Ovis aries: one gene and its partner. The protein of the gene in region 1 purifies or fractionates together with the protein of each later gene. This does not show direct contact. Links are inferred from orthologs where the notes say so. Each region holds a gene or a part of one and is shown in the gene's direction. Other genes may lie near its edges.

Region 1 (3,814 bases):
CTCTTGGCCTCTTTTGTGGGAGATAATACAGGTAAAGTGCTTAGCACAGTATGTGTCCATAACAGGGCCTCAAACATTTATTATTATTTTAATAAATAACTATGTAAGTTATTTATTATCGCTATTATCATTATTATTGATTTTGAAGATTTTAAAAAACATTTTGTCTAAGGGCCATGAGCAACTCCTGTGCTCACTTGCTCCTAACCTGAAGCCTTCATTGGGCCACCCCAAGCCCTGGGTGACCGGGTCGTGGGGAGGGACATTGCCCATTCTGGTTGCCCTGAGCAGGGCTGAGATAACTGACAAGACCCAGCCTGGGGCCTGGGGTTGCTTAGGGTCTCTGGGGCTTTGGGAACAGGGTAGGGTCACCCTGCAATGTATTTGTCTCCAAAGAGCAGCTGGGTTATAAGCAGATTATGGACAATTATCCCCAATTATGAAAGGGGAGACCCTCTAGGCCCATGAAGGAGTCGTGTCTTCCCTTGGGTTACGTAGCAAAGATGGGTTTAAACCCATGACCCTGGTGTTCAGGCTCTACTTCCTTCCTTCCTTGGGGGATGGGCAAAAGACAGGTCAAGAGGGTGGGGCCCTTCCCTGAGTGGGGCCTGTGTGTGCAGCTTCTGGGAGAGGAGGGCAGAGGGGCCTGAGCAAGTGAGGGGCCAATCCTCGAGGTCTTAACACCCCCTCTTCTCCTGTTCCAGGGTTACCACAGGTCAAATCACTTCATAGCCACTCAAGGTACCTGGCACCTCTTCCCATGTTTCCCTCACCCCCCTGCCCCAGTGTGCTGAGTGCCCTCTGCCTGCCTTCCTGCCTTCCCGGCTGATCTGCCTGCCTCCCTGTCTACCTTCTATCTGTCTGTCTGTCTGGATCTTCTGGAATCTGGACATCCATATCTGTTCTCTCTTTGTGTTTGTATCTCCCGATGTCTGCTGTCTGAGTGTAGCTCCTGGTCCACCTGTCTGTCTGCATGCAAAAGGGTCAGCCAGCCTCGGTCCTCATGGGTGTGGACTGTGTCTCTTGGTCTGGGGGCTGTCTGGGTCCCTTGGGCTGTATCTTATCCTCTCCACTGTCTGTCTGTCCATCCCTCCTGGAGGCTTGTGCCATGGCCCTCCAGCTCTTCCTCCTGGGTTCTGCTCAGGATGACCGGGGTCTCCAGGCAGGCTCTCCCTCACAATGACCACCCCAAGGACCCAACAGGCATGAGTCGGCAGTTGATGGGGGTGTGTGGGGGTGAGCATGAAGCCCCCACTGGGGCTCAGGATCCTCCTGGCCTGCATCGGTGGTGTGGGGCAGCGGTGTGCTGGGCCTGGGTGGAGACCTGGCCTTAGAGACAAGCCCTCTCTGCTCCCCAGGGCCAAAGCCTGAAATGGTCTACGACTTCTGGCGCATGGTATGGCAGGAACACTGTTCCAGCATCGTCATGATCACCAAACTGGTGGAGGTGGGCAGGGTAAGTGGGGCCCTGGGGGAGGGGGCGTGGCAGGCCGGGGGCAGTGAGCCCACTGAGCCTGCCCCTTGGGGCCTCCAGGTGAAATGCTCGCGATACTGGCCGGAGGACTCCGACATGTACGGGGACATCAAGATCACGCTGGTGAAGACGGAGACTCTAGCCGAGTATGTTGTGCGCAGCTTTGCCCTGGAGCGGGTGAGTCTCCTGTGGTCACCAGGCCCCTCCCAGGGTGCCTGAGAAGGTGGGGCAGGGCACACCCCCAGCCCCTCCCAGCCCAGGAGTGGAGGGTGGGGGTGGCACTCTGCATCCCGAGCAGGGCAGCCACAGCGCCTCACAGGGGGCACTGTGAAAAGATGGAAAGGTGGCCGTCTTGACTGGTGACTGCAAGAGGAAGTCAAGATGATGAGGATGGTGTGAATGTAGAGAACGATGAGGACCTTGAGGATAACTGCCAGGTGCCGATCCTGCTCTGTGCCAGGCGCTGTGCTCAGCCCATTACACATATTGTTTCGGCCCTCCTTCAGTCTGTGGGTTAGGCCTTTGCTATTAGACCCATTTTACAGATAGGGAAAGTGAGGCTCAAGAATGGTTACCTCACTCATGAAAGGCCCCAGGTGAGGGATGGCACAGTCCTATTTGACTGTCTATAAAATCCTCAGAGGAAAGATAGTTTTCTCCCTTTGAACTAAGACTGGGAGCATCAAAATGATCTCTGAGGGCAGCTGTGTAGCAGGTGGCGGAAATGGGTGACTTACAGTACAGATGTGGCACCAGGCAGATCCCAGCCCAACCCCTGCCTAATGTGTGTCTTGGCTTCGGGCAGGCGGTTTCTCGTCTTTGAGGCTTAGGTTTCTTGCTTGTACAATGAGTCATTAATACCCACCTCGTGAGTCTCATTGGGGTGAACTGAGTTCCTGCGGTGAGATGCTCACTCCCGTGCCTGGCACACTGCAGGTGTCTGGTAGACGCTGGCAGGGGCTCTGACTGTCACTTCTTTTGTCTCCCCAGAGAGGCTACTCTGCCCGCCACGAGGTCCGCCAGTTCCACTTCACGGCCTGGCCGGAGCACGGTGTCCCCTACCACGCCACGGGGCTGCTGGCCTTCATCCGGCGTGTGAAGGCCTCCACGCCCCCTGACGCTGGGCCTGTGGTCATCCACTGCAGGTGGGGTGCTGGGGAGCCCAGGGAGAAGGGGGTGGGGATGGGGTTGTTTGAGGTTCCTGAAGGAGACTGGGCCCGAGTCCATCCTGCTCAGAGGCAGAGGACGGGGAGAATGACCTCCTGACGCCTTTCGCCCTTTGAGCTTCGGCTCTGGGATTGGCACCATCGTGTGCACACTAAGTGTAGCTTATTATTATGGGCTATTGTAATAATAAGTAAGCTTTAGGAATTTCCCCAATTTCACTGTGAAGGACTCAGCACTACTCAGATCAAGAAACAGAGCATTAACAGAACCCAGAAGTCCCTGGAGCTCCCTTGTGGCCTGTACCCCACCTCTTCCCTTCCAGAGTGATCACTCTCCTGACTTCTAAGCCTGAGACCCTTGTGGCCTGTACCCCACCTCCTCCCTTCCAGAGTGATCGCTCTCCTGACTTCTAAGCCTGAGACCCTTGTGGCCTGTACCCCACCTCCTCCCTTCCAGAGTGATCGCTCTCCTGACTTCTAAGCCTGAGAGTCATTATGCATGCTTTTGAACTTTGTATCAGTGGAATCACACATCAGGTGCTCCTTGGAGTCTGACTTTCTCTCAGCCTTATGCTTGTAAGGTTCATCCATATTGTACCCGACTCCACAGCGTGAACAAACCGCCGTGTGCTTATCCATTCTGCTGTGGGGAGGCATTTGGGTGGTTTCCAGCTTTGAGCTGTTATCAACAGTGCTGCTAAGGACATTCTCTTACGTGTCTTTTGGCTGACACACACACTCGCATTTCTGGGAGGTAAGTATGTAGGAGTGGAATTGCTCTGTGAATGTTCAGCCTTACTGGATACTGTGGGCAGTTTTCCAAAGTGGTTTCACGAATTCCAGTCCCTATCAGTGGCACATGGGATACCCACTGGCTGTGTGTCCTGGCTAACCCGTCGCTCTCACCATTTTCAAGCTTGAGATCTTGGTGTCATTTCTGTCCTCCCCTCTCCTCTCAACTCTGCTCTACCTGGTGCTAAATGGAGGGTTCCAGAGATGGGTTTGGCCCCATCTAGCTCTCAAGGAGCTCACTGTGAGGTAGGGAGATAGCCCTATAAACAGTGACCACGGAGCAGGGAAGGGGGTTTTGGTAAGAGTCCACCCAGATTGCTCTGGGAACTCAAAAGCCTGACATTTCCTGGAGGCTCCACTGACTATGGGATTAAGTGTGTAG
Region 2 (3,814 bases), on another chromosome or scaffold:
CTTTAAACAATGAATGTTTGAGAAGACTCCCCAACTTGTCTTATCATCTTACGGCAATAATTAAGTTGGTATAAGTGGACTTCACTTGAATCTTCAGTCTGAGCAAAGCATTCCTTCATGGACAAGTTCTGTGTCCTGGATACTTGTTCTTTGTCTGGGTCTTATGTTGCTCTGTACTTCAGGAAACACAGTCAGCGCCCTGATGTGGGAACTGGTTCTATTCTCCATCCAAGTTCAACTGGATTGATCTTTTAATGACTCTGACTTTTTTTAGTTTTTCTATCAAGGAAATGGAGGTAATAGTTATTTGCCCTAACCTTTCTCACAGGGATGTTGTGGAAATAAATGACAGGTATTTGAAAGCACTTATAATCCTTCAGAGAAATATTTCCTATAAAGCCAGCCAGTGTGCTTGCTAAGTTGCCTCAGTCATGTCTGACCCTTTGCAACCCCATGGACTGTACCCTGCCAAGCTCCTCTGTGCATGGAATTCTCCGGGCAAGAATACTGGAGTGGGTTGCCATTTCCTTCTCCAGGGGATCTTCCCAACCCAGGGATCAAACCTGTATCTCTTGATTCTCCTGCATTGGCAGGCAGGTTCTTTACCACTATAAAGCCGGTTCAGTTCAGTTGCTCAGTCGTGTCCGACTCTTTGCGACCCCATGGACTGCAGCATGCCAGGCTTCCCTGTCCATCACCAACTCCTGGAGCTTACTCAAACTCATGTTCATTGAGTTGGTGATGCCCTCTAACCATCTCATCCTGTGTTGTCCCCTTCTTCTCCCACCTTCAGTCTTTCCCAGCATCAGGGTCTTTTCCAGTGAGTTAGTTCTTCACATCAGTGGGCCAAAGTATTGGAGTTTCAGCTTCAGCATTAGTCTTTCCAATGAATATTCAGGACTGATTTTCCTTTAGGATGGACTGGTTGGATCTCCTTGTAGTCCAAGGGACTCTCAAAAGTTTTCTCCGACACCACAGTTCAAAAGCGTCAGTTGTTCGGCGCTCAGCTTTCTTTATAGTCCAACTCTCACATCCGTACATGACTGCTGGAAAAATCATAGCTTTGACTAGACAGACCTTTGTTGGCAAAGTAATGTCTCTGCTTTTGAATATGCTGTCTAGCTTGATGATAACTTTTCGTCCAAGGAGCAAGGGTCTTTTAATTTTATGGCTGCAGTCACCATCTGCAATGATTTTGAAGCCCCCCAAAATAAAGTCTGTCACTTTTTCCATTGTTTCCCCATCTATTTGCCATGAAGTGATGGGACCAGATGCCATGATCTTAGTTTTCTGAATGTTGAGCTTTAAGCCAACTTTGTCCACTCTCCTCTTTCACTTTCATCAAGAGGCTCTTTAGTTCTTTGCTTTCTGCCATAAGTGTGATGTCATCTGCACATCTGAGGTTATTGATATTTCTCCCAGCAATCTTGATTCCAGCTTGTGCTTCATCCAGTCCAGCATTTCTCATGATGAACTCTGCATATAAGTTAAATAAGCAGGGTGACAATATACAGCCTTGACATACTCCTTTTCCTATTTGGAACCAGTCTGTTGTTCCATGTCCAGTTCTAACTGTTGCTTCTTGACCTTCCTACAGGTTTCTCAAGAGGCAGGTCAGGTGGTCTGGTATTCCCATCTCTTTAAGAATTTTCCATACTTTGTTGTGATCCACATAGTCAAAGGCTTTGGCATAGTCAGTAAAGCAGAAATAGACGTTTTTCTGAAACACTGTCGCTTTTTCAGTGATCCAGCAGATGTTGGCAATTTGATCTCTGGTTCGTCTGCCTTTTCTAAAACCGGCTTCAACATCTGAAAGTTCACAGTTCCCATACTGGTGAAGCCTGGCTTGGAGAATTTTGAGTATTACTTTGCTAGCCTGACTATAAAGCCAGGGCAGTATCAATTCACACTTGCCAGGTATGCAAGGACTTGATAAAATGTGTACCTCCAAAAGCTGTCCTCAAGTGTCTGAGAAAAGACTTTTTCCCTTGGTTTGTTTATTTATACACTCCAGTTTCTCAGTTATGTTTCTGCTAATTTAAGAAGAGAGCTTCACATTTATTTCAATTATGGGACAGTCTGACCAAACAAAATATTTTTTCTGATAAAAATCAGGAGGATTTGGCAGGAGGAAGAGCAGTGACACATTTTCCTATTGATGTTGTATTTACTTTCTTTTGCCCCTTTTTTCTGAGTAATGAAGACCATATAGAAATCTCTGACACTTTCAGAGAAAACTGATTTAAGTTCACCAATTTTAGAAGAGGAGTTCTCTGTAGAAAAGACATATCTTTTTTTTTTTTCTTCAGAGTTTTCTGTATTAATAATATAAAATATTCACAGACTTCCTCTGGTGCACAAAGAAATATTACTTTTAATACATTAAAAATGTTTTATTGTACCTGAGTTAATGGACACTATTTTAGCTAACATGAATGTCCATTAGTAATGGCATTCTTTTTTATATTAGGTAACAAAAAACAAACCTAACTCATCCTCAATTTGATCTTATCCTTTTCTTTTCAAATAATTATTGAAGAGAAAATTTACATAAAAGAAAATTGCATAAGTATTCAGTCACTTGAAGTATGAGGATTTTCCCTTTTTATTCTGAGAGAACAGGAGTTAGATTACTTTTGAGGGCAGAGTCTACTGAGATGTGGTCATTTACAGGCTTTACTTTTAGGTTACTTACAGTATGCTTCCCGTGATGAAATTTTGCTTATGTTATCTCTATTTTATAGGTGAGATTACACAGTGAGAAGAGTTAAGTGACTCCATTGCAGCCATACTTTTCAGTCAGGACTCTATTTCTAGACTCCAGGATTTTGCTTATGTTGTAACCCTATAGACATGGTAATAAAGAAATTCTGTCACTACTTTCGAACTAGAGGAGTGTCATTTCCAGTGATGTGCTTGACCTAGGTGTCTCGAAATAGTGAAGTGTGGCAGAACCATGAAGCAGCCCCTGGAAGAACAGAGGAAGCAAAACCTTACCCTTCCACCCAGAAGGAGGCAGAATTTCAGGCTCCCGCGGAACTGACCCGGCAAGAAGCGGGACCCGGGGAGCCGCAGGAGCGACAGGTGGAGGAGGAGCACAGGCGGGCGCTGGAGGAGGAGGCCATGGAGCAGGTCGGGCGGCCCGAGCGCCTCGAGGAGGAGCACGACCCGTCACCCGAGGAGCAGGATCGGGAGTGGGCGGAGCAGCGCGAACGAGAGGAAGCCAGACGCGCGGCAGGGGAGGCTCGCGCTGAGGTATGCGGTTACCCAGCCAGTCGGCGGGTCGGGGTTGTGCCTTTGTCGCTACATAGTGTCGACCCATGAACAAGGAGAGTTTGAACCTTGCAGGACCACTTCTGTAAGGATTTTTCTAGTAAACACTAGAAAATCTGTGTTTGGTCGAATCTGAACATGGGAAACTGAGACAGAAGGGCCCCCACAGGGAGGCTGTGGAGGATCCCTACATACAGAGGGCTGACTAAAAGTTATATGAAGATTCTCACTGTGCTGAGGGTCCATGCCCCTAATGCCTACATTGTTCAAGGGTCAACTGTATCAAGGAAAAAGCCCATGTGTAACAATCTCTAAAATAAAATGAGGATGATTTCACTAAATCTTCTATGTACTTATTCTGTTGTGATATTAGTAGCATAGCTACCTTACCCCAGAAAGGTGATTGGGGAAAAGAGAAGGTGCTGTAGGTGTTTATTTGTCAAGAATGCACTGTAGGGCGGGGATAGGAGGGAGGCTCAACAGGGAGGGGATATGTGTATATTAAAACTGACTCAAGTTGTTGTACAGCAGAAATCAAAAC

What was found.
Region 2: the proteins of PTPRU (region 1) and GOLIM4 purify together in Homo sapiens (affinity purification with mass spectrometry; 3 studies listed by BioGRID and IntAct, counting the BioPlex papers as one, with this or other methods). This does not show direct contact. The link is inferred for Ovis aries from reciprocal best matches to the Homo sapiens genes PTPRU and GOLIM4.

Annotation. Positions count from the first base shown.
Region 1 is NC_056055.1:237,986,788-237,990,601, reverse strand, and holds part of PTPRU (receptor-type tyrosine-protein phosphatase U), read left to right. Parts: intron 1-704; coding exon 705-741; intron 742-1,358; coding exon 1,359-1,651; intron 1,652-2,464; coding exon 2,465-2,619; intron 2,620-3,814.
Region 2 is NC_056054.1:220,061,711-220,065,524, forward strand, and holds part of GOLIM4 (Golgi integral membrane protein 4), read left to right. Parts: intron 1-2,925; coding exon 2,926-3,255; intron 3,256-3,814. UniProt on the Homo sapiens protein: Plays a role in endosome to Golgi protein trafficking; mediates protein transport along the late endosome-bypass pathway from the early endosome to the Golgi.